Caenorhabditis elegans: one gene and its partner. The protein of the gene in region 1 purifies or fractionates together with the protein of each later gene. This does not show direct contact. Each region holds a gene or a part of one and is shown on either strand. Other genes may lie near its edges.

What was found.
Region 2: the proteins of C45G9.10 (region 1) and pnc-2 fractionate together in Caenorhabditis elegans (co-fractionation; one large-scale study listed by BioGRID). This does not show direct contact.

Annotation. Positions count from the first base shown.
Region 1 is NC_003281.10:5,052,289-5,068,674, reverse strand, and holds C45G9.10 (uncharacterized protein), read left to right. Parts: upstream 1-6,776; 5' UTR 6,777-6,793; coding exon 6,794-6,848; intron 6,849-6,891; coding exon 6,892-6,984; intron 6,985-7,033; coding exon 7,034-7,195; intron 7,196-7,348; coding exon 7,349-7,476; intron 7,477-7,520; coding exon 7,521-8,110; intron 8,111-8,199; coding exon 8,200-8,486; intron 8,487-8,759; coding exon 8,760-8,903; intron 8,904-9,321; coding exon 9,322-9,682; intron 9,683-10,099; coding exon 10,100-10,386; intron 10,387-10,452; coding exon 10,453-10,596; intron 10,597-10,986; coding exon 10,987-11,413; intron 11,414-11,556; coding exon 11,557-11,794; 3' UTR 11,795-11,831; downstream 11,832-16,386. Other genes in the region: C45G9.11 (uncharacterized protein), read left to right, coding at 1-75, 2,552-2,704, 3,261-3,366, 3,577-3,724, 4,025-4,259, 4,386-4,682; C45G9.4 (uncharacterized protein), read right to left, coding at 4,856-5,051, 5,183-5,603, 5,659-5,893, 5,943-5,969; C45G9.9 (uncharacterized protein), read left to right, coding at 12,920-12,946, 12,996-13,230, 13,279-13,705, 13,837-14,032; C45G9.8 (uncharacterized protein), read left to right, coding at 15,355-15,388, 15,437-15,505, 15,864-16,012.
Region 2 is NC_003282.8:14,899,807-14,915,909, reverse strand, and holds pnc-2 (nicotinamidase), read left to right. Parts: upstream 1-6,220; 5' UTR 6,221-6,396; coding exon 6,397-6,516; intron 6,517-6,647; exon of another isoform or gene 6,648-6,668; intron 6,669-6,714; coding exon 6,715-6,846; intron 6,847-7,055; exon of another isoform or gene 7,056-7,076; intron 7,077-7,138; exon of another isoform or gene 7,139-7,162; intron 7,163-7,346; exon of another isoform or gene 7,347-7,385; intron 7,386-7,522; coding exon 7,523-7,753; intron 7,754-7,826; exon of another isoform or gene 7,827-7,847; intron 7,848-7,854; exon of another isoform or gene 7,855-8,040; intron 8,041-8,188; coding exon 8,189-8,251; intron 8,252-8,268; exon of another isoform or gene 8,269-8,290; intron 8,291-8,320; exon of another isoform or gene 8,321-8,344; intron 8,345-8,607; exon of another isoform or gene 8,608-8,628; intron 8,629-8,730; exon of another isoform or gene 8,731-8,754; intron 8,755-9,207; exon of another isoform or gene 9,208-9,225; coding exon 9,226-9,314; intron 9,315-9,383; exon of another isoform or gene 9,384-9,404; intron 9,405-9,725; exon of another isoform or gene 9,726-9,749; intron 9,750-9,876; exon of another isoform or gene 9,877-9,897; intron 9,898-9,939; coding exon 9,940-10,080; and 12 more. Other genes in the region: eps-8 (SH3 domain-containing protein), read right to left, coding at 15,517-15,636.

The DNA of each region.
Region 1 (16,386 bases):
TTCATATTAGATCATGAAGAATCGTTGGCGAGTCCACGGAAACTCAATATTCCCAATCCAGAAAATGTCTACTCGGTAAATTTTCATTTTCAGTTTGTTTGACACTTTCGTATTTCGAAAGTTTGCATGTTTAAATATTATTAAACAATTAAATTTTAATTTATTAATTCAAAACTTCTGCATGGTGCACTTGCTGATCCATTTTTTGCAGCCTGAATCGAGTAGGCGGGAGTTTGAACCTACTGCTCTTTGCCAGACAAAAGGCAGAGTGTAGCGTAATGACCACTTTACTTTGTACCATAAACTCCCCCGACAAGAAAAGAAAGGACCCCTGTGGAGTAAATGAATGTTCTTGTAACACATTTGGGGTGGTTGTGATTTGTGTCTGTAAAGTTTTGGCCGAATTTCTCAGTTTATAACTTTTTGGAAATGAGTTCGCGCTCAAACATTTCTTAGATCTGAGCTTGACCCTGAAGTTTGCTTCAAATGGCTTAAATTCTCAAAGTTCCTAATAATAAGGATGACGTTCCACTTGGATTTTTGTATTTTCGGTTGATAAGTTTCATTGGAGCCCTGGATTATCCAGGAAAACTTCAATTCGCGACATTCATTGCTTGTATTTTCAAAATATTTCCAAATTCTTAAATTGAGATGCGTGTTATAAAATTTTGATGCACTGTAGATTCATAAATTCAGAAACTTATGCGAACTTTTATGTTTTCGTCTTTTGAAATTTGCAAACTATTGAGAGATGTCTACATATTTCCCTGAGTACAAATTTAACTGAGTGCTCGGCCAAAGTTTATTTACTAAATCTTTTCTAAGATTTTTGTTTTCGTTGTGTTACGTGTTTTTCACTTAGCAACTTCTATTCAAAATATTATTGTCATAATTCAAGTTCGTCTGAAAGCATTGGACTTTTCAGAATGCTTTTGTGTCCTAGTTCTAAGCATCTTTATTCTTAGAGTTTCTTGTTTTGGAGTCGTTATTTTTCTATTCGACCTCAAGTTATTCCAGGAGTTTACATCCTGAACAGCTTCAGTTTATATAGCTAAAAGAAGAATAGCGATATTTGGATCATCTCTTTATTCTACTCAAATTGGCCCAAGACTATTACCGTATTTCGTAACTAGGCATTTTTAAGGCGAAAACAGTTATGGCTGCTCAAAATTTCAGAAAAAATACCTATTTTCAATTAAAGTAAGATCTTAAATTTTGCCAACTTAGTTTTGGAACTTGGTTTTAAACTAATTATTACCCTTCATTGAATATTTTGTTAGCTTATTTCTAGTTTATTTGTTGATTGAAGTATAATTTCGGTATAAAGGCGTAAAAAATACATCAGAAAAATTTTGTTAGTTAACCTTTTTCATGATTAAATTCCACCAAAATATAGAACTTCGAAAAATGAAGAAAAAGGAATTTCAAATATTCTGCTAGTTGTATTTAAACTTTTGGCTGAACTATGTGAAGAGTTTTTTTCTCAAAAAAACTGAGTTTTGTCGTATATGTTGTTTCTTTTTGTTGAAACTTTAAATAACCTTTTTCTAAACATTAAACACCAGTTTTCAATTCAAATCTTCCATTCAAAAAACCTCATATTCTAAACCTGAAAACCTTTTTTCCATCATCCGTAACCCTTTCTATTTTTCCATTTCTCTCCACAATTACCTTTTCACCGCCTTTCACTTCCCCCGATTTCTTCTTCCGTTTTTTCTTCCCGCCAAAAAAAGTTTTTTTAACGGCGGCGCTGGCTCCACGGAGCACAAAACGCCCACTTTGTGTGCCTGGAAAAAATTAGAATTCGCTTGAAAGGAATCGCCACATATTCACGTAACTGAATCTCAAAAAGAATTCTGAATCTAACTTTAAAACTTTTATTCTATTAGCTTCTTTCTCTAATTCTTTAACAACAGCAAAATGATGAACGAATTTGAAAAAGTAAGTGTTTTGTGAATATATTTTTTGGAATAAGATTTTGTTTATAAAGCGGCATTTGCAAAAATTACTGTAGGCTATTCGACAAAACAATCTGAAGCTGTTACGTAACTTGGCAACGGTCCAGTTGTTCACTGGAGTTACTCCAAGTCAGGATAAGGATGAGGTTTCTTGAATGGAATTTGCATGGTACAAATATTTAATGGAATGATAGTGTTGTATTATAACCAATAACAAAGTTCATCGAAAAACTTTCAAAGTTTCCAATATCGGAAAATCTGGTACTTTATGAAGATTTAAATAAAAATAATTTTTTGCACGATGTGCTTCAAAAATATAGATTTTAGAAAATCGAATAAACACGAAACGTTTTGCAGCTTTTGCCATACCAATTTGATGATCAATGTTTGTTTTTGAATAATTTTTGATTTATCCAAAAATAATTGAGATTATTTCTTTCTTGTTCGCGCACTTCTTGCACATTCGCATGACTGTTAAATATTTTAATCAATACTTACAAATATCCATCACCGTATACACTTTCTTATCACTCTCTCAGGAGAAAGACGTTCTACTGACATAACAATGCACAGATTCGACCTTCTTCTTTCAGGAAAACCGGAGATATTTTGCTGATCAAGATTTTCGACGACCACGTCACAAACCTGATCAAAACATGGTTGAGTACTGGGTACCACCGGAGAAGACCTCGGTAGCAAAAAATAACACAACTGGGCAGGCAGTTACCCCGGGGCAGGCAAAGAAGGTGAGAACTAGAAAAGGTTAAGGGAAGTTGATGAGTATTTGTTTGTCTTAAGAAGGTTAAATGTTTGCCCCAAAACGATGGTTATGGGTCTCGCCACGAACAAAAAATTTCAATTACCATAGCAAGTACTGTAAACATTGTTTGATTTTCTTTCGATATGATAGACTTATTTTGATAATTTTTCAATAAATAATTGATATTTACAACAAAAAGAAGAGACTGTCGTTCAGTCAGTAAGTTCAAAAATTGAATTCAAATCATCTGTCTAATAAATATTTTATCAAATTCCCTATGATTTGAAAAATGACGGAATGTAACGTAGGGAATAATTGTGATGTTTATAGGCGAAAACGAAAAAAAAAAGTTTTGACAATTCCTTAATGCTATCCTGTAACAAGAGCAAAAATTACAGTAACCCAGCGAAATTGTGCAATATGTAGAGCGTAATTCCTTCATCTATGTACATACAATCAACTATTTCATTAGTTACCATCAAATAATCCTATTGACTTATATACAAATATATTTTTCTCCTACCTACTCACTTTCTTTTCAGCTGAACCAAGTGTGCCCGGCAAGCGCTCCGAATGGGAAACGAGCCATGAAAATTCCGAAAGTGAAAGAGCCACGCGGAGAGAATTCAAGCAAAAAAAGCTCAGCAGGTATGAATGGGAGACAGGAAGTATGTCTACGAAACCGACCGCCATTCACTCAGTTTCACAATGACTTCTTTACTATGGTTTTTGAAAGTTGTCTCTCTAGAACATTTTTTAGGTTACAATTTTATTGAAAAACTAGATTCAAACACTACACATGTGCCAGATTTCAGCAGCTTCCACAAGCAAATAAATAACCAATACATATATTTTCAGATCAAGCCCCTGGTCCTTTCCGGGTTATGTACTGGAAAGTCGGTCAATACTTTGAAAAAGCTAGTGGTACAGTCAATCATCATTACCAAAAAGTTGTGCTCTTCAGAAACAGAATGAAAGCAAATAAAGTGGCCCCGATACATACGAAGTGAGTTTTTTTTTGAAAATGAAGTTCGCGAGTAATCGCAAAATTTGTTTTTTTTTCGGGTTTATACTTACAACTTTTTTGGCTGAAAATGAATATTTTTGCGAAAGTTTTGGTAACAATAGTTTGGTAATCAATTTTGGCTCCTTAATGATTTTTGTAGTTTTGTAGTAGCGCCATCTCTCTTTATCTCATTTTTATCAATTGAGGAAATAAATTAAAACATTTCGGATGTATATAAAGCCTACATGGAGTCCAATCAAAATTTAAGGATTTTAAGTATCAACCAATTACTGCTTCCAGAGTACAATCCCGTCATCTTGAACTCGAACCACTATGCTGTCTATCATCATGCCTTGTAAGAGGAGGATGTACTACTGTAGTTGTATTTGAACTATGTTATGTTGTGGCAACTGCTCTTTGTATATTTGAAGCAATGTTCCGGAAGAAATTCGCTCTTTGGGAGCCATTCCCAAAAAGTTTCAACGGCTGGTTCGCTCATCCATTGTTTTATTATACAATTGCTGTTTACGATGTGGTGAGTTGGGCTTTGATTTTTTTAAAATATGAATAACCATTCTAATTACCAACTTTTCATAAATTTTTCTTCGGGCAACAACCGTCATGCTTTCCTTTTAAAAATTATTTTAAGAACGTCTTCCAGGCCCTCTTCGTGATAGCCATTGCAACAGCTCGAGCACTGGTAAATTTCGACAAAGCAGTTCTTCACATCCACTACATTTTCTGTATTTTCTCATTTTTCATCAACTTCTTCTTTCTTATTTTTAGTATTTGGTCTCTTGTCAGTCCCGGTTCACTTACATTTACACCTATCAATTGCTTGCTCATTTTTTGTTTTCTTTATCAACTACCATTGAATATTTGGGGCTTCTTTGTGGTCAAAAGTTGCCGAGATTTTTTTGCACTTATTCATGTTTTTGTGTCGTTAGCAGAGGCTTGATAAATAAATTCGTCTTAAAGAAATGCATTGATTGGGGGCAATAACTGGAAACAGTAGCGGAATAATGAATTCGTCGTCTGAATAATTTTAAATAACAAGATACAAGACAAAAATTCATATAAAAACCAAAGTTCACAAGCCACTTCATTTGTTCACAGATAACCCCCAAGTTCTCAAAAATTTCCATCCAAAATTTCGGTCATTTCATTCAAATCCTTCATCATATCACAACGTGTGGCCTTATCACTTTGGCATGCAGCGATTCGATTGCTTGCCATCCTGAGCATATGCTTCATATTTGATTCCATCATCAGTGGAACTGAATCTTCATACACCCAACGACGAACACGGCACTCGTCTTTCACGTATCTGAAACAAGAATTTTAAGGAATTTTTACTCTGTAAGAAGGTGGAAGAACGCAGGAACAAATTAAATTCCACTCGAACTCCAAAACAGGAAATGTGAGCAGTTGGACTGACAGTGTTAAAATGCAACTCACTGTGTCATGAAGAACTTGTGAGATGGATAGGCAACACTTTTACGCAGATCCTTCTGATCATCATCGTCTTGATCTTCTTTTGAATACTTCTCGGCAGTGTATTGTCTCTGGACGCGAGGAGAAGAAGCATCACCTGGCGGATCTTGTGGAAGATGTTTAGATTCAGCAGATGGCGGAGGAAGGGTCGCTGGAGCAGTGACCATTTGTTCAGTTGTACCAGTTGTTGCAGAGGTTCTTGGTGTTGTGGAAGACACGGATCTTGGCTGATACAGCGGCTCAGAACGAGGAGCCGGTTCCGGTTTAACACCAGTTGGTGGAATTGGTGTTGGAGGTCTTGGAACAACTGTTTTCGCCTTTGCATCAGCATCCACAATTCCTGATTGAATGGGCTTTTGGAGAGAAGCCTGAGCTTGTTGTGGAACTGGCTTTAAATTTCAAAAGGAGGTTTTCAACAATGTTACAACGTGGCAACTTACTTGCAGCAGGTTTGCTGGGAGCCTTCATTGGAGCCTTCTTCGGAGCCTTCTTCGGAGCCGATCTTTTTGTACGCTTAGCAGATTTTTTCGATCGTTTAGTCTTTCGCTTCTTTGCACAACAACCAAAGAGTCCCTTCTTACTCTTTCTCTTCTTTGAAGTCTTCGAAGATCTACGTGGCTTTGTCTTTGACTTATCCGATGTTGTTTTAGTAGGCTTTGGAGATACCAGTTTTTTCTGAAAAAATAAAACTTTTATTAAAAGCTTATCCAAAATGTAACCTTACCTTGTCTGGTGTGATAGCAGTGGTCATGACGGTGGTTGCTGAAGAGAGATTGAATCGAGTAGTCGAGTTGTACCCAAGTAAATATTGAGAAGTGATTGGAAAAGTTTATTTTCTGATCAAATCAATTTTATATTTATTAAACAATCATCCACGGCAGGGACCGAAAGTTCAATGCCACGTTAAAAACAAATTTTTAAAAACTTTAAAAATAAATAAAAAACAATTTTTTCAACTTTGCAACAAAAAATGATGTTTTTGAATTCCCGCGCAAATGAATGACATTTTTTGACATTTTCCCGTTTTCAGGATAGATTAATTAGCAATTATCAATATTTTTTGCCAGAAGAAAGTAAGAAAATGTGACAAATTTTTGTTTCAAATTTCAGAGAAACATGTAGAAAAATTAATTAATATACTTTTGTGTATTACTTTTTTCCTGCTCATCCAGCGTGTCTGAAATTTTATACACATTTAAGATATGGTGAGAACTAGAATATAAAATATTCATACAACTTTTCCGAAAGTTGGAAAAATTAAACATCGGTGAATTCGTAGAGAAATTAAACAAAACCTTATAATGATGCACTTTTTAACTTAAATCACAATTTTCAAAATTTATTTCCAACTAGAAAAAAAGAGATATAAAAGAATTTCTGACTACGAATAATTATTGCTGCAACCTGTTTTTTCTTTTTTGTATAAAGTTTCCCATAAGTTTTGAGAATAAGATTGATGCCTGATGTGCGAAAATTGAAAAGCGGGGGTTGAAGAGTCAAATCGAATTAGGAATCGTTATAAAAAATGGGATTCATCTTCAAAACTGCCAAGTATCAGTTTTCCAAGCTGAAAATATGGTTCTCTGGAATCTATTTGTTTTTGCTACTTCAGTCATTTTGTTGGCTGAAGGTAAACGTATTTTTGGAAAGTGGAATGTATTTCAAAGTTTAAGGAACATTTGACAATTGCAATAATGGGTTACTCACCGATAAAATTCTGAAAATCACTTCGCCGCATGGAAATGTTTCAGTTTGGGATATTAATGGTAAGTTTAAGGGTTCGCTTTGATTTTTCTAATGTTCCTTATTTTACAGAAGTAATTGTATTCGGGGAGCAGGAGTCTGGAAAATTGAGCTTAATTCTTCCCAAACAGTTTTCAATAAAATTGGAAAAGGTTGACCGCACGTTTCTGAACGTTTTCGTTTTAAAACCAATTCGAGATGATTACTTCCACAATGTTGTGATCGAATACATTGGTTAGTAACTATATTTTTAAAGATTTTGCAGGGAAACGGATGAGAGTTTTTTTTTAAATACATTAACACATAGGTTTTGTAAAGCGGCTTTTAACAATTTCCCCACTAACCCCTTACCATCTTGAAATTTGTACACATTTCCCTAATTTCCAGTCTCAAAGGAGTGGCATCCATCCCTACAATTTGATCTTCAGTCGATTCATTTGAAAATTGTGGATGATCGGAGTGGACAATCGAAAGATCTCATTTTACTTTACGATCTTCGGGCGGAAGGGCAACAAGTTCGTTTTCTTTCACACTTTTTACAGTCCAAAAACGTTTGTAGACCTCCAAAATCTTACTCGCTCCGAATAAAAGAGATCCAAAATGTCAAAGACCTGCTGTAATGGATACAATTCACTACAGTCAAGTATTTGTTCAAAATGCAATGAGAAATCGATCGCATGTATCATCAGGAAGCCGTTGTACAATTGCATTTCTACTGAATACAAATGGAGATTTTGAGAATTACGTGACAAGTAAAAATGATGAGATTAGAATTCTAAACTACACAAAGATTATCAATGCGAATGAATACGCCTATATATTAGTAGAGTTTGAGACGCTGAAACCGGGAAAAGCTGAATTCAATGTGGTCCAGAAACAAATCAGCAATAAAAAAACAAGAGAATTTTACGGTGTACCAATTACTATTGTTCCTGGATTTATCGATTTCTGGAAATCGTCAGAATTTTCAAACGAGAATTTGAATCCAAATGAACAAATCAGCATTTTCAAAACGTTCCTGTATGATCCCACAGAGAACAAAGCACTCAGTTTTGATGGAAACGAAGAGGTTATAAATATTAATAGACCTTCTACCAACTACAGCGAACTTGTATTTGTATTTAAAACGGAGAACAAACACTTTTTCCAGTAAGTCGTTTTTTTAAAGAAGTCTCCAAATTTGGGAAAATCCGTTTTAATATATGTACTATTAACTGTACATTATTTTTTATTTTTAGATTTGCAATGCAAAGTCAAGAAACTGGAATTTTCTATCGCATCTTCAAACATGATTCCAACACAATCATTACAATTCCATTCGATGGAATTCGAAATGAATTGAGCGAAGAAAATCTAAGACTTGCTTATTGTTACGATACAATGGATTTTTATAATGTCAAAATTACAACAGACGGAGTGCAGAATAGTAACAATATTGTCCAGATGAAGAAGAAATCAACAAATTCCGCAATCGAAAGTATTTGGAAATTGATTCCTCATAGGTTTGATTATTATGATGTAACTGGTAAGTTATTGTTTTTGAAGGGTGAATTTTCAAATTAAACACTTCGACTGTATAATAAGAGCGGTAGAGCTTGACAATCATCTTTTTTGATTTTCAAATTTGATATTAACCTTCTCCCTCACCAGAAAGATCATAATGTAAGGATTCTTTTGTTCCTCATTTCCGTCAATCGGCCCGAGGTGCTTCAAAAAATCTATAACGCATATGAAAAAGCAATGTTAAATATTTTCTGAAACCTCAATCAATTACTGAAACAATTGAAATTTATTGCAGATATGATATACTATGAAGAACATGATCACGGTCTACTAAGATTTGATGTCGGGGAGAATATGATAACTGAAGTAAAGAAAACATATTTCAAAACGACTCTTCGGGAGACTCTTGTTGACAAGTACCCAATTCTTAACTTTGGAGGTGAGAAATATCATTAAATATATTTGGAGGGATATTGCCCGGGTTTTCAATTACGATAAGATTCCTGTAGTTTCATCTATTATTTATTTCTGCTTTTCTAGTTTTCTTTTTTTCGTTGAAAAAAACCAGTTTTTTTTTTTTGAGTTGCGATTAGTAGAGGGAGATTGTAGCCGTGCATATTTAGAAATCGCCTTACAATGTTTTTTATTGGTAAATTTTGAAAACTTTTAATAATTTTGAGAAACTTCTGGAAATAAAAATTTTTTTTAGAAACTTTGAGAAACATAGGAAAACTTTTGGAATATTATCTGCGTTCTTTCAAGCTATTTTAAGTTTATACGAGTAAAAATCTCACAATCACTATACAACGAAACGCTTATTTTTTAAACTTTTTGTTGACAATACAACATATTTTCAGAACAATTTCCATATACGAATACATCCGTCGATATCATTATTTCGAATAACAACTCGAAAGTAATTGAAACTGCCAGTGTACAAATTAACGGATACAAGTCAGGAAGTTATATCCGTCGTATTGGGAATCCTGTATACTACGATTACATTTTCATTAACTATTTTAATTCTTCGGAATATTGGAATGTCGATGAGTCCGTGGGTGGAATCTACATGATTTTCCTGAATGATCCTTTTCGGAAGAAATCGATTGGTTTTAAACCAGATGAGAATAATAATTTCGACATTCAAAGACCATCGACAGACTACAGTGATTTGGTTGTGATCTCTGTTAATAAGACCACCAAAAATTGTGATCCAGCGTAAGTGTGTACTTGAAAAGTCGATCCATTTCCTCCATTAGTATTGCGTCTGAAATTTCAACTTTGACAGCTTGTTTCTCTGTTATAGTTCGTTCAATTTAAGAAGTGCCAATTGACAAAATGTTTTTTAGTTCTTGTTCAATCGTTTTGTAGTTAATATTTATTTATAACTTCAAAATAAATTTAGATAAAACCTTACAAAGTAAAGTAGTCAGATGCAATAGAAGAAATAGGGTAATAGGGCAAGGTTCTCACATAGATGTTTCCGCAACCATCCAGAAAATTAGGATTTTCATTTTTGAAAAATTGATATTTAAGATACTAACCCTGCGGTCCTTCTATAGTCGCCGAGAAACCAGAAAGGTGCACAAAAATATCTGTCATAATAAATCCGCCTTCACAATTTTTTTATTCCAGCATTACAGTAAGAAGCCTTGAAACTGGATTGATCTACGAACATGCTCAGTATTTTAACCCTATGGTGTTTTCGATTCGGTTTGATGGAATTCGAAACGAGTTACCAGTGGAACATTTGAGCATAGAACGTTTTGATACAGTTTATCATGTTAAAATTACAAACAAACATGTTTCAATTGGATACACATCGGAAGTTAATTCGGTATTTAACGGTGTTTGGGAGAAACAAGAAAATGCATGCACTGCAGTAGCAGAAGTAGGGGTACACAAATATTACATTAACGGAGGTAAGTCTTATTTAAAAAATTATAATATATTAACAAAAAAATCATTTCAAGTAGACAATGTTTCAGAAACAATCATTCTCGAAGAAAAACAAAGTGGATCTTTGATCTTCGATGTTCCCAAAAATGCGATTGTAACTATTTTGATCAGTTCATCGAAATGTTCTGATCTGGATGTGAACAGGGAGTTCGCGAATAAGTTTAGCTATCAAGGTAAGTTGGGTTTCAAAAATACATTTTATTTTGTATTCTGTTTGTTTGAAATATGGACGATTTATTTTTTTTATGTTATTTCTTTTGAAATTAAGAGTAACTCTTTATTCGGTTTTTAAATAGTTCAAAACTTTGACGAAAACTTTGATTACTTTGCAATGTGTCCATCTGGAGCCTCGAAACCTCATTATTGTGGGTGTACGATGCGCGAATTGCGACAAGTAAATTAATTGAGATGTTATGAGCAAATCACCAATTCATGCATATCTATAATTAAGATTAATATTTCTTTCGAATGTTTCTATTAAAAAAATTGTTTCTCTTCAAGATCTTACAAAAAAAAGTAGTTGGGTCAACGTTAAACTTTATGAACTTTATATATTATTTCAGTGCTTGAAAATGTTTGTCCGGATTCGAAAGGATATTTTGACATTACTGTCATTGTCAAGGATAGTAACATCAATCAGAACTTCCGTGTTCATTACCAAATCGGAAGCCGAACATTTGAAAGACCGCAAACAACTAGTCCTACATATATTCCTGTTACAACATCATATCCTCCAACAACAAATCCTCCTTCTCCGGCACTACCAAATTTGATTGATTTCTTGAATAAGGAGAGGGAAAATGTTAATTTCAAATATGATTCTACGGAACTTGCAATGATATGTTCATACGAGATATTTGAAAATGGAACAACAACTATCACAAGAGTTTTACCTGTAAATGGAACATATACGATTGCAAAATATTTGGGAGCAAAAACAACTGGAATTGCATTCTTCATAAATAAATCTGACAAAACAGAAGCATACAGGTAAGCTGTAAAGGCATATGGAAGTAATCTGTAAAACCTCAATCATGAAAAATTTTAACTTTTTTCAAAAAATACCAAAATTTGTTTTCAATTTGGAGCAAACGTTGACTGTGAAATAAGAACGAGATAACTTTATATTTCAGACTGACTGAAAAAAGTATTACAATGGGATTCGAAAACAGTGTTACAAGTGAAAATCATGAAGGGAATGAATGGATTGTAACGAGTGAATTCCAAGGGGAAAGGAAGAATTTGAAGGAAGAATCATTGATTGCTACATTGGAAAATTTGAATTCCAAGAGAAAAACTGAAGTTAATGTTCAAGTCAAAGCTTATTTTAAGTCATTTCTTGATGCTAAATTTAAAAAGTTGTCTTCTTGAATTGTTTTGATTGAAATGAAATATATCAGATGGGAATAATGTCGAAAGTTCAATGAATATAAATACATGGCAAACGTCTCCTAAATAACAGAAAATAGTCTCAATATACCGAATCTGATTGTGAAATTGTTTTCAAAAATAATTGAGCCCTTTAAATTTTTCTTGCGTGTAAAATCGTTTTTTATAATTTAGAAAAACGTTTTTTTTTATTCAGACGTAGCAGTCTTATAGCTTACTCAAAAAAGAAAACGATTCCTGTTTTTCCAGATAACTTTTTATAACCAGGATACCAAGCAAAGCGCAACAAAAAAACTTCTCGAAAAAATGTGTTTGATTTTATTTAGAAATGGTCGAACTCTATTGGCAAACAGGCAAATTGCCGATTTGCTGAATTTGCCGGAAAAACGGTAATCGCCGAAAATTTTCGGCAAATTGTGGTTTTGCACATTTTTTTTGGAAATTTCAGAATTTCAATTTCAATCGGCAAAACTGTACGCATCATATGAATGTTCCTACATCTATTTTGAAAAGTAAGCAAATTTTTATGTAAATATCTAAAGAAAACGGGAAAACGTTCAAAAAGGCACTGCTCAAGTGTTCCCGTCTTTAAAAAAATTCCTCTAAACATTTCCGGCAAAGCTGATATCCGGGAAACGGCAAATTGTCAATTTGCCGAAAATGAAAATTTCCGACAAATCGGCAAACCGGCAAATTCTGAAAGAGTACTTCTCTTCCCGAAACTCAATTGCTAATTTTTTTTTAATATCAGGGGTACATTTCTGGAACCTAGATATTCCATCCCAGCCGCGCTACAGGGGTTTTTGTTTTTTTCTATTTTTCGTGTAACAATCTATTTTTCGTGTAACAATCTATTATTCGTGTTATTCAGAGAATTCAAAAATACATCCTTTTTTGTTGCAAAGTTGAAAAAATTGTTTTTTATTTATTTTTAAAGTTTTTAAAAATTCGTTTTTAACGTGGAATTGAACTTTCTGTCCCTGCCGTGGATTTTTTAATAAATATAAAATTGATTTGATCAGAAAATAAACTTTTCCAATCACTTCTCAATATTTACTTGGGTACAACTCGACTACTCGATTCAATCTCTCTTCAGCAACCACCGTCATGACCACTGCTATCACACCAGACAAGGTAAGGTTACATTTTGGATAAGCTTTTAATAAAAGTTTTATTTTTTCAGAAAAAACTGGTATCTCCAAAGCCTACTAAAACAACATCGGATAAGTCAAAGACAAAGCCACGTAGATCTTCGAAGACTTCAAAGAAGAGAAAGAGTAAGAAGGGACTCTTTGGTTGTTGTGCAAAGAAGCGAAAGACTAAACGATCGAAAAAATCTGCTAAGCGTACAAAAAGATCGGCTCCGAAGAAGGCTCCGAAGAAGGCTCCAATGAAGGCTCCCAGCAAACCTGCTGCAAGTAAGTTGCCAAGTTGTAACATTGTTGAAAACCTCCTTTTAAATTTAGAGCTAGTTCCACAACAAGCTCAGGCTTCTCTCCAAAAGCCCATTCAATCAGGAATTGTGGATGCTGATGCAACGGTGAAAACAGTTGTTCCAAGACCTCCAACACCAATTCCACCAACTGGTGTTAAACCGGAACCGGCTCCTCGTTCTGAGCCGCTGTATCAGCCAAGATCCGTGTCTTCCACAACACCAAGAACCTCTGCAACAACTGGTACAACTGAACAAATGGTCACTGCTCCAGCGACCCTTCCTCCGCCATCTGCTGAATCTAAACATCTTCCACAAGATCCGCCAGGTGATGCTTCTTCTCCTCGCGTCCAGAGACAATACACTGCCGAGAAGTATTCAAAAGAAGATCAAGACGATGATGATCAGAAGGATCTGCGTAAAAGTGTTGCCTATCCATCTCACAAGTTCTTCATGACACAGTGAGTTGCATTTTAACACTGTCAGTCCAACTGCTCACATTTCCTGTTTTGGAGTTCGAGTGGAATTTAATTTGTTCCTGCGTTCTTCCACCTTCTTACAGAGTAAAAATTCCTTAAAATTCTTGTTTCAGATACGTGAAAGACGAGTGCCGTGTTCGTCGTTGGGTGTATGAAGATTCAGTTCCACTGATGATGGAATCAAATATGAAGCATATGCTCAGGATGGCAAGCAATCGAATCGCTGCATGCCAAAGTGATAAGGCCAGACGTTGTGATATGATGAAGGATTTGAATGAAATGACCGAAATTTTGGATGGAAATTTTTGAGAACTTGGGGTTATCTGTGAACAAATGAACATTTCTGGAGATTCTACTGTAGTAGAAAGTAGCAAGTTTCTACAATTTCCCACGTTGCAATTACGTTTAAACTTGTTTCATGTTTGATTTCAATTAAACTTTCATATCGTTCTGACTGATGTGACTCATTCAATTTCATTTTCCTATTTTGAAATTGAATTAGAAATGTTTTGTTTGAAAGAAACAAAGACATGGATGTTGACCGTTAGACCTCGTATCTTCTTCTTTCTGAAATTCAATAAAACTCTGTGGTCCCTCTGGCCAACCAATTAGAAATTTTTGAAAACAGAAGAGAAATGATGGGAAATCGAATTAGAAACAGAAATCAAAAGAAAAAAGCACATGAGACTTCTCGTGTGTTTTGGATTTTTCAGTTTTACTTACTTCTTCTCCCGGAAAGGTTAAAATTTAGTTTTTTTTTCTAAAATATTAATTTAGAAAAGTGTTCCTCGAAAGTTCATTATGCAATTTTGTGTCATCCGTCACATATTTATCTTCAATAAAAAATTTTTTTTTCTTCTTTCCTTTTTCGCTCTTCCTAAATTTTCCCCCTTTTCCCAGCTCCAATTCCCTTGTGCCAGCTTTCTGGTAAAGCTGAACCGAAATATTTGAGGGCTCCGTTTGTTTCAGCTGAACACTTTTTTGATGTGCTTCTTCTCGCTTTTCTGGAGTGAAAAGAGTGAAGAACTTCCTGGTGCTTTGAGGGTTCTTCAACTTTTCATTCTTTTTGAATTGAGACTTAAGTTCAATTTTCCATTTTTCTGTTCAACTTTCCATTGTCGAGAAGTGATTTTGAGAAGAAAAAGTCATTCATTCGCTCAGTGCTTTTCCACAAAAAAATTTTTATGGTCCATTTAAAAGCAATTTACTTGAAAAAAAGTGTTTACGAAATATTTTAGATTGTGAACTTTTTATTTTCCAAGTATTTTTTCTGCTGGAAACATTATTTACATTGATTTGTTAATCAACATTTTTGTTGCAACTAAAATTTTGAACCAACGGTAATAGTTTCATTAAAATTTTTCTCAATTTTCTCAAAGATCGTCTAAGAAAAGTTAAAAATTACTAAATGTTTTGGGCTTATTGTAGATACAATTTCACTTGCAAACTGTCAATTTAAAGGCACACGCTCATATTTTCGGTGGGTCTCGACGGAGACTTCAAATAATACTAGGTCCAAATGTCACAAGTTTGTTTTATGTTGATATTCATCTTTTTCCCTTATTATACAGTTTTATTTTTGTCTTATTTTAGAAACTACCTTTCATTTCAGACTCAAATCTGAATCAATCATGACCACAAGTCTGCTCAGCCGTATGCAAATTGGTAATTCTTTAGTTGATCTCAATTTAAATCGAAACCTTTTATGTTCAGATAGAGATCTTCGACGATCAACAGAACATGTTGAAATAGTACCACAAGAAACATGTGTACATCATGAATGTAAGTTACGAAATTAAGGAACTCTTTGATCATTTTATTAGCGAGGTGTTGAGTAAATATTTAAAAAAAAAACACCAAAAATTAAATAAGAGATTAAAAAAAAGCCAAACACATACTTTTTCTCTAAAATTATGTTTAAAAAATTTTTGAAACATTACAAGTCCACGTCGGTTGATCTCCAGAAAAACGTCAGTTTTACCTAAAAGTATCTTCACTGGGCAAAAAATTGGCAAAAAATTAAGTTTCGAAACTCAAACTTTTGCTTTTTCAATACCACAAAATAGTTTAAAATAGTTTTTTTGCAGACTTGTTAGATATTAATTAATTATATAGACAATTATATAGTACTTTATTTCAGCACCCGACTCAGTTTTAACTGAATGTGCAACAATGTCAACGTCAACACACGTAATGCCAAACTCTTCCTCAACAATCTCGAAATCAGCAACAGTGGTCTCACCACGAAGAGCAAGTGAAATACCAGGAACATCTGTACCAAATAAATAAATTCAACAATCTTTTTATTTTGATTTTTGATGCTTCTTTCAATGTTTGCTCTGCGGGCTTTTACATTTCAGAATCGCTAGTTCCATTTTCTTTTTTTTTATGTTTCGCATTAAATATAACAACTACTATTTGTCTTTTTATAGTCACGTATTAGTCTATCTCTTCTTTGACTCGAAAATAAAAAATTTCGTTTTCGTTGAACAAAAGTCTGCAAGAATTCGGAAAAGAGTCCCACGGGGAGTTGAGCGTTTCATCAAAATATTCAGGACAAATGAAAAAACTCGAGACAACTAAATGGTGAATATGGTGGGGGCAAAATAAGTTCAACTTTTTTGAAATTTATTTCGATCCTTTTCTTGCATTTTTTGTTTCTT
Region 2 (16,103 bases), on another chromosome or scaffold:
TTTCATGACAATACGAACAATTTGATTAAATAATTTTAGTTTTGCAGACACATGCACTTCATGAATTCAGGCAATTGTTTTGAAATAACCTTTTTCAAACTCGAAGATGTCGAAGTGTAACAATCTAGAAGTGGAGAAGTATATTTAACATTTATTTGAAACAGAAATAAAAATTTAATAGAAATTACAAAATTGTTGACTTGCAAAATCCAAGTATTCTAGTTAAAATTGGAGTTTCCAATTAAAAAATTTAACTGTTTGGCCTCTATCATATTATTAAATGAGTTTCGGATAAATTTATTGATTTGATTACAACAATTTAAGTATACCTTAACAAATTTAAAGGAAACAAATCAAGATAAATACAACATGAATATTAAACAAAAAAAGAAGAAGTACGTTTAACACCAATTTGAAACAATTTTTGTTAAGTTGGAATAATTTTTTAGAAAACAACTGTTTAGTTCAAGATTGAACTTCCAAAAGAACAATATTGAGAATTTTGCTGAAAAAAAGAATTGTGACGTCATGCATGTTTTTTCACAAAAATTAGACAAAATTGATTATACTAAATAATTAAATACCATAGTAATTATAAGATTGATTTGAAACAGAATTAAAAATTTTCAGAATAGGATTTCTTTATGAAATTTTTAATTTTTAAATCGACATGTTTTCAAGACTTTTTTTTTACATTTAGTAAATTCTAAAAATAATAATTTTGGAACTGTAAATAGTTAAATAAATCATATTGTAAACTTGATGACTTTAAAAATACTGGAATTAGAAAGAAAGGAGACTACTGAAAAATTGCACACACAAGAATAATTAGAGTCAACGAAACAGTGCAAGTAAAATTAATTATTTTCCCAGTATTTTAAAAAAATATTCTTCTTGGAAACTCAATAAGTTTTTTTTTCAGAAAAAATCGATTTATCCCATTTTTTGTTGTATATTCTTCAATTTTAAGTATGCTGCTTTTTGCATCTTTTCCATGTTCAAAACTTTTCCTAGAACACATTTTCGGTAATTCAATTTTTCATTTGAAATTTTTATTTTTTCTTAATAAATTTTTTAATGCTGTTTAAATCCGAAAATCTAAATTTCCAACAAAAAAAACTATTGCAAACCCTGCAATTTGAATTAATGGACCCTTTTTTCAACCAAATATTTCGTCGGTTTCAGCTTTTCTATATCAAACGGTAACATTTACGAAAAAATAATTTTTCACAGATTAAACCAAACTATTATTTCTTTAAAATTTCTCACAACCACCTCACAATGTGATTTTTTTTTCAAAAAGTCTGTTTTGGCAGAAAAAAAATGAAAATTTTTAGAAAACCTTCTATTTGAACCATTTCCGATGTTTTCAGCCTACAATTTTTGAACTCCCAATTTTCGATATTCTGTTCACGTTTATCACAGCACGTGGTTTTTTTTTAATTTTAATTTTTTTTCCGTTTCATCCAATATATGAAATTTTTTTATTATAACCTCACACAATGCTGGACACAACACGCATTTTTTTGTATGTTCGAAAAATAAATGCTCGGTTTTAAGTGCTTCATATAAAACCGTGACTTTTGAAGAAAATCGATGATTGCTCTCTAATAAGTTTTTTAAAGTTTTAAATCCCGGTTTTTGTGGTTTTCTTCACTATCAGTCTGTAACATTTTTTTTTCTCTATTTCCCATAAAATATCAAGCATGTTTTTTCAAACAATTCAGACAATTTTCATGTGCACTTGTCCGTGAATGTGGAAAAAAGTTTACAAAAGGAAATGTGCCGTGCTGATGTATAGCCCAATTGGAACATTTCTCAATTTTCGGCAAAAAAAGTGCCCGGTTTCAACTACTTTGTATAAGACTGCACAACTTTTACCAATATTCCGGTAATATTTCATTTCCAAAATGAAAAAAAAAAATTGCACATAATGTAGACAATTTGGGAATTAAAAAAGATTTCCGGTTTCATCTGCTTCTTTTAAAATTTTGACTTTTGTAGAGAACGTTCAGTCTGCATTTACAAGCTGTTAACTTTAAAAAACGGGTTTGACACGTATGCCTGTTAAAAAAATTATATTGCATAGTATACAAAGCACGTTTTGCAATAATGTTAGGCGTTGTTTTATAGAAAATTGAAAATTGTCTTTTTAAAATTGTCTATGGGCATTCGTTTACTAGGAAAACTGTAACAACTGAACAAAAATTTAAAAATTTTGGCATTTTGGTTTTCAACAAAAAATTATATATTTCTACTGATTCCTATGAATTCCTATGAAGTATTGTTTTTTTCAAATAATTTAGACAATTTCTTTGAAAACTGAAATTAATTTTCAAAAGGGATGTTTTCAAAAAAAAATCGGTTTCAACTAATTCTTATGAATATTTAAAAGACACTCGACCATTTCTGGACGTTTTCAGCAATTTTGATCAGCTATTCATTTAGATTTAGATTTTTTTTTCAATGCACATACATTTTCTTCCAGATATTTGTGCACTTGTAGCTGAAAACTAAGAAAAACTTTTATAGCACAGTTTAAAAAAATGTTTAATTCAGAAAAAATTGACGATTTTGACCAGTTTCTAGAAAAGCATAAAACTCCACTAGAAACCATTAAAAAACACAAAATTTTGACTTTTTTTAAAGCACATTTCTTCTGTTCTCAAATAAAAAAGAACTATCCAAATTCCTAAAATTCAAAAAAAAAACTTATCGTATTCATTTTTCAGTCACGATTTAGCAATTTTTTAATGTTTAAACTACATTTTTTTTTCGAATACATAACTCATTTTCAGACAATTTGTGTGCATGAAAATTAAGAAAATAAATTTCAAAACAAAAATTGTTTTACTAAAACCGGAATTTCCATTAAAAACAATCAGCATATCACACTTAGTCTCGTTTTTTTTTCCCTCATTTTCGAAAAAAAAATTTCGGTTTCAGTTAGGCTAGACAATCGCTATAAAATAAACATTTATTCTTAAAATTGAACTTTTTATTCTAGAAAAACAAAAAAAAGGCATAAAGAAACTGTCACAACCGGACAAAAATTTGACTGTTTTGGCACATTTTCTTTGTAAACCATATTTTCTTCATTTTTCTGAAATTTCAGAAAAAAAAGGATCATTCTTGAATGATTAACAATCCTGATTAACTACTAATTTTGGATTTTTAAAATAATATTTTAATGCACATAATTTCAACTATGATATGTACACATTTTTTCGAATAATTTAGACAATTTGTGTGCATTGTGCAAACTAGGAAAACTTTTAGAGGTACCTTTGTTGTGCTAAAAACAAAATTTTCACAAAAAGCTACCTGAAGAATACTAATTTTTGCCCAGTAGTTTTTTTTCTGCATTTTCCAAAAAAAATTGTTCGGTTTCATCAACTTTTTTTAAAACCAAGATTGATCCTGTTCGGTTTGATTTTCAACATTTTAATTTGACTTCTTTCCATCTGAAATAAAAAGCAGGTTTGAAAATTTTTGCAAATTTTGTAAACATTTCTAGGAAAAAAAAGCATTTAAATCCATTAAAAATCTGTCACAACTGGACAAGAAATTTTATGTTGGCATATTTTCTCTGTAAATCAATTTTGTTCATTTTCAGAAAAGGAAATTCAGAAAAACTGATCATTCTTGAATGTTTCAACAATCCTGATTGACTACTAACTTTGGATTGTTAAAATAATATTTTAATGCACTTAATTTCAACAATGATATGTTCAAATAAAATGCATGTTTGACAATTTTCGCAAATTCTGTAAACGATTTGCGTGAAAAAAAAAGCAAAAAAAATCCATTATAAAACTGTCACAACTGGACGAAAAATACTATTTTGCCATATTTTCTTTGTAAATCATATATTATTTATTTTTTATTAATTTCAGAAACAACTGATATGATTCATATTTGAATGTTTTAATAATCGTGATTAATGTCCAATTTTAGAATTAAACAAATATATTTTCAGTGTATTTTATTGTGCAAAAACCTAAATTTCCATGATAAATCACCAGAATACTCCCTCTCCTAAGAAAAAAATTGTTCTGTTTCATCTAGTTATTTTAAATCCGAAACTTTCTTTAAAAACACTAATTCGACGATTGTTGTTCTCAAATAAAGAAAATTATACAAATTCGTAAAATAATTACTATTAGCAGTTTTGTTCATTTTGCCTTAATTTCAGAGAAAAACTTAACTGGATCTTTGAACGTTTTAACAATTGTGATCAACTACCAGTTTTAGAATTTTTTTTACATTTTCAGTGCATTTCATTTCTAACAAGGAAAGGAAGTCAATCTAGTATCGAACTTTAAATTGAGACGTATGTCATTTGAAAGCTTATGTTTAGACTAGATCACCACAAAAATTTCAGCGGCGGAACTCAACTCTGAACCCCTGAAATCGCCATCTGAAAATTTTTCTCTGCGCCCTCCTAGTTTTCAATACTATTTCGTACTTATTCATTTTACTTATACAAAAAATGATTTTCAATCTTTATAAAATGATTACAAACATTGAAAACAATAAAAAACAACGGTTGATGGCCGAATGGTAAACGCTTGGAATAATGAAATAAAGGTCTCGTGTTCGATTCTTTCAGTGGGAATAATTTTTTTTTCTTCAATTTTTAAAAACTGCAATCGGGCCCTTTGTAAAAAATTGTAAAATTTTGTAACAATGCTCAATTCGAAGAAATATGTAGCTTTTTGCATGCCCGGATACAAAAAAATAGTTTTGGAATTTTTTCAAAAAAAAATTTTTTGACCAAAAATTTTGTGTCGAAAATTTATGAATTTTGATCGAAAAAATTTCAGATTTTTTTCAAAAAAATAAAAAATTCCAAAAAGCTCCCACATTGTTTGTTAGACCCTAAAAACCCCCAAAAACAATTTCTAATCTCTCAGAACCCCTTTTAAGGCCATTTACTTGACATAGAAGCCAGCGAAAAAATGCACTGGAGCACTTTCAGATGGCGATTTCAGGGGTTCAGAGTTGAGTTCCGCCGCTGAAATTTTTGTGGTGATCTAGTCTAAACATAAGCTTTCAAATGACATACGTCTCAATTTAAAGTCCGATACTAGATTGACTTCCTTTCCTTGTAAGATGTTTCCCGTTTTTTAGAAGAATTCATATAATTTGTGAGCCAGTGAAAATAAGAAATAGCTTTTATTGACACATTTGTCGTGATAAAACCTAAATTTCTATGGATACTCGTTTTATATTAGCTTTGTCTATTTCTGCATTTTCCAAAAAAAAAATTGTTCGGATTCATCTATTCATTTTAAAACCAAAATATTCTTTAAAAACACTGGGTGAAGCTTTTGAATTAAAAAAAATAAAGTAAAGAAATAAGTCGCTATTTCACCAATATTAACATTTGTATTTATTTTGACATTTATAAGTTTAAAAAATTAATTTTTAAAGTGGCGGGGGTATTATACACAATTACCGAAGAAAAAAAAAAAGCAGGCTCTGTTTCAACTATTTTATATAAGATTTTCACAAAACGTCATTTCAATCTTTTCACCACATTTAATTGTCCAGAAATAAACCAAATCCCTTAGCATTTTCCCACTAAAAATTACAATTTCCATACCTTCAAAGTACGTCAAATGGGATTCAGTGAATCATTTAGAAATTGAAATTTCTCAAATTTATTAAAATTCTCTACAAAATGACATATTTTATGACACAGAAATGATACACTTTTGGAAAAAACTGTACTGACTCTTTTTTATAAAATCTTCAGTTTTGTATTTTGGGCCAAACTTCAAAATTTTAAACATTTTTGATTTGTATGATGCTTCTCAACAATATTATGAATAAAAAAAAACAAAAAATAATTTCTATAGAAGCCAAAAAAAAGCAAAAAAACTGCTGTCGAACATATATTGGCAGAAAGTTCATATAATTTCTATGAAAATGGAAAATAATTTTCAAACATGAATGTTTCAAACTTATTTCAAATTTGAAGAAATATTCCAGTTTTCTCGTTTTTTCGAAAATAAAATACAGGCTGTTTCAACTACTTTATATAAAGTTTTCAATGCACAAAACGTCACTATAGCAATTTTTCCTGTTCCAGAAATAAACCCAATCCCTTAGCATTTTCCCACTAAAAATTCCAATTTCCATACCTTCAAAGTACGTCACATGGAATTCAGTGAACCATTTAGAAATTGAAATTTTTCAAATTCATTGAAAACTCAGGAAATCTCAACCGCCGACCGGAAACCCAATAAGTCACCAATTTCCCATTCGACACCCTTTCCACAACCTTCAACAATTTCCGACTTATTCTGCTATCGAAATTCTCCGAAAAATTCGAAAATTTTCCGTCTAGTACATACCTTGTCACTAGCGGCGCAAGCGTCGCGGAGCATAATGGGTGTCGTGCAAAATGAGCAAGATATTCGGGAGAAAATGAAAAATGAACTGATTTCGTTGGTCAATGAGATTGACTTAATTCCCGAGTTGGATCGGTTGTTGGATGATTTTATTGAGGTTAGTTAATTGATAAAAATTTGAGCAGTAGTTTTAACAGTCATTAAAAAGTTAAAAAAAAACACCAAAAATAAAATTAAAATTATTGTTTCAAATACATATGATAAAAATTTCAAAACATTTAGAAGTACTGGTTTTGTTTCCCACGTTTTTAATGCTAGTCCCACAATTTTCAAGTTTTTTTCTTCAAAAATTCAGAACAAGACATGGAACGAGGACACTCAAGAGCTCTTTACCCGAGTCGTACTCAAACCATTCACAACTTTGAGAACTTCTCTTCTCGTTGTTGATTTTCAAAATGATTTTGTGACTGGAAGTTTGAGTATTAAGGTGAGTTTAAGTTATTTGTTGTCCGACATCAACCGGGTTTTTCAATTTGTGAACAACCCGCTAGATGTCGGTCACTTCCACAATGATCGTTTTCAAGACATTCAATGAGTTATTTTCAACTTTCTCCTGCTTTAGATTTATTTGCAATTTGAAAAAAAAATTACTGTTTCATCTAAAACATTCAAATTTTTGAAAAGCAGTAATTGTATTCGTTGTGCAGTATGTATCACTTATCAGAAATTTCTACCGTTTCAGAAACTTTTTAGATTAACAAAAAATTTTGAGTGTTTATTAATAAGCCACTTTGTGCAATGGTTATTTTCTTTGAGTTTTAAATTAATTGTTAGCTATTATTAGCCAAAGCATGGAATTTTCAGAATTTTGAAAAATATTTTCTAGTTAAAACAATAAATTTCAATTCTGTATCACTTATGTATCACTTATTATTTATTTACTGTATCACTGACTACATGAATCTTATTAGAAATTTTTCATAATATTAGTAAACTCAATCAATGCGATTTTTGGCACATACTTTATCAAGTTGGAATTTATGGATAATAATATGCTGAAATGAAATAGAAACAGAATAAACATTTTAATTGCAGTTCTCAAATTTTCACAAATTCATATTTCATTTTTTCTAAACTTTAAAACTTTCATTTCCATATTCCAGGAAGGAGACGCGGAGCAAGATCCACTGGAAGCTCTTCCTCATGTCAATAATCTTTTGGAAAATCTCAATTGGAATATGATAGTCTATACTCAAGACTGGCATCCATCAAATCATATTTCATTTTTTGAACATGCTCGGAATCCGGATAGGGAGTTGGCTCCAGAGGATAAAAGTCGGAAGTTGAGACCATTTGATATTGTTCGATTTGTGAAGCCTGTTTCGACTATTCAGGTAATAAGAAAGAGGAAAATATTTTTGCCGTTTCAGTTAAAATTCATATAAGAGGTGAAACTGTAAAAATTGTTAACTTAGACAAACTTCAGGAGATGAAGAAATACATTTTTTTTATTACTTAAAACTTCTGAACTTTGGAAAATCAACGCTTATTGTAGCTGAGCAAGAAACTAAAATTCTTTCCTCGAAAATTTTAGTTATATTGCTTGGCAGCAACCGGCATTATTTGTGTTCCCACCATCCCCACAAAAACAATTAAAATCCGTGAGATGTCCGGTGCAATTGCCTGTTTCTAGAACAGTGTAGAAGATTTTCGAAAGTTTCATAAGTTTCAAAGAGAGAATAATGGGTGAATATAAGAAGGAATTTTTGAAATGCAGCATTGAAAAGTACAGAGCTATTATTTTCATTTTTATATATTCTCCTTTTCAGGTTTTGTACCCAAGTCATTGCATTCAAGGTGGATGGGGATCTCAATTGCATTTGGGACTTCAGGTTAGTTATCCTTAAATATAGAAAAATAACTCGCAAGAATAGTTTAGTTAGACATAAATTGAAATATGGACTTTTCGAAACATTGCCGAAATATTGCTCAACTTTTTTCCAAAACAAAATACGGGAAAACTGAAACAGGATTTTTTTTAAAATTCTCTTTAAAATGTTTAAATGTTCATCTGAATTTTTTGGTTTGAACCTTATTTCATAAAATATTTTCGGATTATACAAAATTTATATTTTCATCAAATCAAATCTGCGCTTCATTTTTTTCCAGTAACTTGATTTTTACTAGAATACTTTTCAGTTTGGAAATATCCTAAAATGCTTGGCTTTTATTTCTTAAAAAATTGAATGCAATATTAAATTCAAAAAAATCCAATCAAACATATGGTGTGCCGTTAATCCTAAACATGAAACAGCAATAATTTCTTGAAAATTCACAAAATCAATTCAATTCAATTCTTGCATATGAAAGAAAACCAACATCAATGAATTAATTAACCAGGTTTCTTTTTGTTTTAAAATTTGTGATGAATATGAAACATGATAAAACTCAACTGATTAAACTTTTTTTAAAATTTTTTAGTGGATTGACATAAAATGGTTTCTTTTTTCCAAAATTCCGAATAAGTTCAAGTTTTAGTTTAACTCAATGTTTATGTTTCCAAAAACCGTATCCATGAAGAAAAAGTACACTTATTTGTTTTGATTTTTTTGTGTTAATTCTCATTAAAACTGTAAATTAGTTATTCAAAAAAAATACTTTTACGGATTAGTTTTAAATTGAACTACAACAAAAATGAAATGGAATGACCAATTCATATTTGTAAAAAATCAGTCATTAATGTAGGAAATTGAAAATAATTTTTAAGTTTTAATAAATTTTCTAAATATAAAAATAAAATTTTCTGTTTCTACCACTCCGCTTAAAAATCATGTGTAAATTCATTTATTCAACAGTAAAAATTCAGAGAATTGATGGAGCCCATTACATCAAAAAAGGAGCCGATGTCTACGTAGATGCATACAGTGCTTTCAGCGATAATTGTGGAATAAAACAGTCAGTTTTTTTGGCGGCTATTAACTGTATCAAGAATTAGTTTTAAAAATTGAGCATTTCAAAATTTATTCTGGCTACAATTTGAAGCTTAATGTTTGTAAATCCTACAAAAAATGGTAAAACACGCTCAACCCCGTCTCACATTTTTCTTATAATTTGGACAATTTTTTTTTAATTAATAACCTCTTTTCTTTGTGAAAAAATTAAAACTAACAACCGAGGTAAACAATGACAAAGTTTCGGGTTTTTTCACAAACTCAGGCAGGGTTCCGCTGCTGCAGCTACAATGTGAGTCGAATTTTTTATTTTTAAAAATAGTAAAACGAGGTTAAGTATTTATTTTTGATCAAAAAACTTGAAAAACTTGAAAAATATCTAACAAGGGAAGCCAAGTTGGTATAAAGATTTTAAAGATAAAAACACGTTATTGTATCAATAATATACACAGAATCGGAAACTTTTATGAACAAGTTGAAACTGTTGAATAAACTAAACAAAAAATTCAGAAACCGAATACATTTTCAATATTTCTTTGAAAGTTCAAAATTTTTATAAATGTTAGTTCCTTCGGAAATTTTTTTATAATATCGAACAAAATATTGTTATGTCCCGTTCCCAATTCCAGATCTGAATTGGAAATGCTTCTCCGTAAAAACGACATAAATGCAGTAATTGGGTGCGGATTGGCTTATGATATTTGTGTAATGCACACTTTAAAAGACGCATCGAAACATGGATTTTTGACGTGTATCGTTAAAAGTGGAAGGTAGTTTTCGGATTTATTTTGGAACAGTGTTCCGAATGACTTTCATAGCGAACAAAATTTTTTATGAAATTTTTGAAACAGTGAAAAAAAATTTTCTAAGACTGAAAAAAAGTTTTTGATTTAATAATGAAAATATTGTTTTCCAGCAAAGGTCTTTCCTCTCTGAAAATGGATGAAGCTAACAAGATGTTCCAGAAAAGGGGCGTCGCTATCATTGATGACGAGATGGCTCAGTTGATATCGAGACGAGAAGCTTTTCCAATTGAATGGGTGAGTTGGAAAAGCACCCGACACATTTAACGGGATCAGCTTTTTCTATTCAAACTTGGCAAAATTCGCTTAATTATGATATAAACAAAAATACAATTCAAACCTACAAATATACAGACAGCTTGATGAGATATAGACTTACAAAAATAAACAAAATATTAGAGGAGCCTGGTAGATGTCGGGCGATACAATTTTGTTTTAAGAGCGAGAAAAATTACGGGATAAATATGTGAAATTTGTCATCAATATTGGATCAGAAAGGTTATAGATCAGAAAGGCCAGAAAGGAAATATTGAAATTCTCAAAAATTATGAAAATAATAACACTGTTTGTAACAGTAAACTAATTTTTAATCTTTTAGACTCTAGGCTTTTCTGAATCCTGTGTAACAATTACAATTTTCTCTGATTTTTTCCAAATTTTTGAAATATAAATTATTTTTCAGATTCGTCTTCTGGTTCATCAAGCCCAAAGCGAACTTCACGGAAAGAAATGATTTATCTTTTTTCATTTTTTTGCCCTTAAACTTCTCGACTTTTGAAACATTGTAATACCATAATGAACTGTTATTATTTAATTTAATTTTTTTAACTGTTTCGATATGTTTAGTTAATTTGATGTGCAATGATTTTTTAATTTCATGTGCAATGATTTTGATAATTTTGTTAGATTCGTTCAACATTATGCCGATCAAATAATTTTGAAAATATTTTTGTAGTATCGCTCAATTAATGGTTTGATAGAATATTTAATGGAAAGTTAACATGTTAATTTATAGGGAAAAAATTTGTAACGTTTGAGTTAGGCCGAATTTTCTCAAAACATTGTATGGTGCATTATTTCGTTTTTTTTTGCTCCAAACTTCAAATTTAAAATCTCTAAATGCATTGAAATTCACTTTAATATTTTTTCTTTTCACTCAGATAATTTATCGCATAACAGAAACAGTAAAAACCCATGTTTTCAATTTGAAATTTTTCTGAAGTGGATTTCAAGCTTATTTATATCCCCCAGAAATTAATCAAGTGGTTTCAAAAATGCGGAATATTTTCGGAGAGTAGATACGCAGTAGTAGTCAGGCAATACAGTTAATTTGAAACAGCAATTTAGTTGTGTTTTCAAATTAAGTCACTTTTAAAACTATATCCAGATTTTTTCGTGGGAAAATTTTTAAAAATCCTATTATAGTCGATCATATTAATAAGAAATTTGATATTTGGAAGAAATAAATGTTTAAAAACAAATTTCAGTTTTACAACGATTTAATTTTCTATGGTGTGTGTACTACAATAACTCACTGTTTCATCAGGCTTTTATGTTGCGAACTTGAAACTGCAAATAACCGTGAAAATATACCGGTTGGCCGAATCATTTTGAACCTATTTTGTAGTATTGAAACATTCAAGAGCATGTAGATTTTAAAAAATGAACGAGGAAGAATCCCTGAAACTGATAGTCCAATATTTTAAAGATATAACCTTTAGAAATAAATAGCATGATTCAAACATAATTCTACTTCAACAGCTTCATACAATTGTAAAGGAAAAGATAACATGTGAATTTATCGAAAAAAAATTGTTTGACCTGACAGCAATTTTCCCAAAAAACATTGCATGGTGCATTATTTAGAGTTGGTTCTTTCCTAAACGTCAAATTTACCCTCGAATGGAGAGCCATCATTGCTATATTTCACTCAGATAATTTATCGCAAAATCGAAGCAGTCAAAATAAAATGTTTCCCGATTTGAAATTTTTCTGCAGCTTATTTATATACCCCAGAAATTAATCAAGAGGTTTCAAACAGGGGTGTGCGGCAAATCTCAACATTTGCCGTGCTCGGCAAGCGGCAAATTTGGCTGATTGCAAATGGTTGCAATGTACCAAGTTACAGATATAGATTGCACTATAGATTACTAGAATGTTCAAATGTCTTGCCGCTAAGAGGTATAAAGATGTTTATTTTCAGTGCAAACTATATCTGTAACTTGGCACATAGCAACATGCAGTCTTTCCAATTTGCACTGCCGCCCAGCGGCAAGGCACGGACACACAGAAAGAGGGAGGAACACAGTACAAAGCGGAAAGACTGTACGTCTCCAGTGTACCAAGTAACAAATATAGATAAGCATCTTTATACCGCTCAACTGTAACCAGTTATAAAACATTTGTACTTTCAAAGCAATCAATTGAACAGGCACGTAAATATACAACCCTAATATATCTGTCACTTGGCACATAGCAACCAACAGTCTTTTTAATTTTCTCTGCCTCTCATCGGCAAGGTATTGAGACTAGAATAACACAAAAAAAGGGGAGGAACACAGAGCAAAGAGGAAAGACTATACGTCACCTATGTATGTATCAAGTAACAGATTTAAATCGCACTATACGTAGATAAACATCTTCATACAGCTCAATGGCAAGGCATCGGGACTAACATGACATCTTGTACTAGAGCGTGCGGCAAATTCAACAAATTTGACAAAATTTTTGCATTGAACTTGCCTGAATTTTTCCTAAAGATTGTATGGTGTTCAAATTATTTCTATATTTCACACAAATCTTTTATCGAATAATTGAAACAGTAATTTTTTTTCTAATTTGAAATGTTTCTCAAGTGGTTCTCAAGCTGTTTATATCATCCAAAAATTGATCACGAGGTTAAAAAAATGTTAGGTGTCTAGCAAAACAACAGTTAGTAGCCTCTCAAAGACATCCGGCAAATACAATGAATTTGAAACAGCAAATTATTTTTAAATCAATTTTTTAACCTGAAAAAAGTATTGAAAAGTTCCAACCTACTACATAGTTTTTGAAATTCGATACTTACAAAAAATCTTTTTAACTTTGAAAATATACAATCTTTTTCAGAACCTTAAAACTTTAACGCGGGTTATCCACTAATTTAATCGTCTTGAAAAATTGAGTTCTGAACTATTTTTTTTAGTTCTAAAATTAATACTGTTTCACAATGTTATTATCAACCATACATGCTTTAATATTCCAATGTTTAACCAATGTTTACCATTAAACCCACATTTTGCTAAAAGATTTTTGTAAAATATGAAAAGTATTTGAAATACAGAAAATGAGGTGTTTTTTTTTGTTTTTTTGGTCTCATAATACCAAAAAAAGTCCCAGCACTGTCTGCGAGAGTTCCGCCAGAGACCTAATTGAGTAACTCTCTTGATTTGTGTAATCTTAAATTTACAAATCTTCAAACAAGCGAAAAGTTTTGCCAAATGAGTTTCTTGGATTTCTCGAAGATAAAAAAAATATTGTGAAAATTTGCGATCCAATGTTTTGATGATGTAACCTTTTATTTCCGATTTTTTTCGATGTTCCATATAAACACAATAAAAAAGTGATAATAAAAATTATGTTCAGTTTGAGACGTTAAAAATCTTAAACATTACATTTTCAACTCGTTTCTCCGCCGAAATCGAATTGAAGTGCAAAAAAGTGCAAATGAACAACATCATAATCGGTTAGAACGTCGCAGAGATCTATTAGGCTAACTCTTGAAACATAAAATTTTTTGAGTAACTCAAATCAGTATTATACACAAACAACGCCTTTTTGTTTTTAAAACTAAAAAGTTGACCTAAAAATGTTGTTTTCTCGCTTAAATTTCTGTAGAAACAAACGTAATTTTTAGTTAGAAATTAAAATTTTACTGATTCGTGGCAAAATTTAATACACTAGTTTTCTGACCGGAAATTAGATTGTTCACGGCAACGTAGCATTTGCCATGTTGTGCACAAATAAGGGAACTTTTAATTGAAAGGATACTGGGACTGTAGTATTACGGTAACGAAAAATTCAGAAAATGCGTATTGCTCAACATATTTGACGACGTTGCCCTAACACTTTGAAATGTCACAATTTTTTATAGAATTTAATGTTTTAACTGTTTCAATATGTCTAGTTAGTCTTCTATTTCCATATAAATTATTTTCTTCTTTGATTCGTTTTTCAAAGTGTTCATTTAATAGTGAAAATTATGTAAAAACAAGCACCTGGAACAGAATATAAAATAAATTCGGATAATCAAGCAATACATTGGATATGAAAGTAGACTTGCCCGATTTAAAATTTCAATTAGGTTGATACCGAATTTAATTTTTGGAAAAAAATATGCATGAGGCTTAATACATTTTTCAAAAATTTGGAATTTGGTTTAACCATGTCTCAATTCAGTTACGAACACAATAGTTTCAAACGTATATTATAGTATTCATAAAATGTAGGTGAAACATACACCAGTAGATAAAATAAAACAAACAAAAAACAATCAAGTTATTTCTGTTGTGCTAAAAACTATGCTAGTTTTTCAAAGAATGATTTGATTCAAATATTTCTGAATTTTAATGGAAAAAAAGTTTGAGCGGATTGGCGCTTTCAAAATTCACTTTCCATCTTCTTCACCACTTTCATATTTTTCACAGATCATTTATGGTGTCTTTAAAACAATGAAACAATTATTCTTCAGATTGGATTTTTTTTAAAGTTTGAAGCTTTTTTCTTTTTTCTTTCTTAGAAACATTGAAACATAGGATCAAAATGTTTTAGAAAAATGGAATCAGAAAAAGAGACGTAATAGCAGCCCCTGAAATAGTGATTTTTTTTAATACAAAATTTTACAAACCAGAAAAACCATTGAAAAAATCCAAAAATTGTCGCAATAAGAACAGTTCATTTCCCATTCTTGGCATTTATAAAATACTTTTTCATTTATTTGGAACATTTACAAACTTACACAAAAACTTATTGAAGAAACTATTGTTCGCAACTTATTTGGCTTTGAAATATTAATATATTTAAAATAAAGTCTGTTTCAAACCTATTTTATTTATCTGAACAGCAGTCTTTAAAATATTCATCAAAATATTCAAATATTTCATAGTATTCGCAGAAGCATTTATTTGAAACATAATTCAATTAAAAATGTTGAAAATTCAAAATCTGAAACAAAAATGGATTAACGGAGGCAGTAAATTGAACATATTGAAAGTAAGTTTGGAATGAGTATTCATCTGGAAAATCGGGGGATTTCTTATTGTTGAGCTAGCCAAAAGAATTAGCGAAAATAATATTTAAATCAATATTTTTTTTGTGAAATTTGGATTTTTGTCGTTGGAAAAGTTAGACAGAAATTTGAAAAACCTAGAGAATTGGGTTAATAGTGAATACAGGTTCATCAGCTGCAGCTTCATTTGATAATTCCACGTGGGTTCGTCTGTGATTGAGAATTGCTTTCAATTCATCGCCAGTGTGAGTTCGGAACTGAAAATTATAAATTTCAAACATTTAAAAAGCAGTGTTTCAACTGTTTTTGTTGGAATTGATTAATTTAATTCATTTATTTAACATTTGTCAAGTATCTGCTAATATTTCTTGTTATTTTATATTAACAACTTGAAACATGACACTTTAACAAAAAGTGATGAAGTATACTTATTTATTTTTTTTCAGCAACTTTTCCCCTGGAATAGTTATTCTTTCCATGTCCTCTTACATTGAGAACTTGAAACAAAAAAATAATTTTCGTTCATGCTTCGAACAAAAACTGTATGTAACCTAGAAATTGATTGGAATTACTTTTTTTGTCAAATAATTGACACTGAAAAATTTGTACAAGTGGCTACATGCAAGTAAGTTTTTAATCGCTTTCGATTTTCAAAATATCAAAAAAAGCAGCTGTCAATTATATTTTTTCTTCAATGCATTATTATTTGTAAACTAACATATTT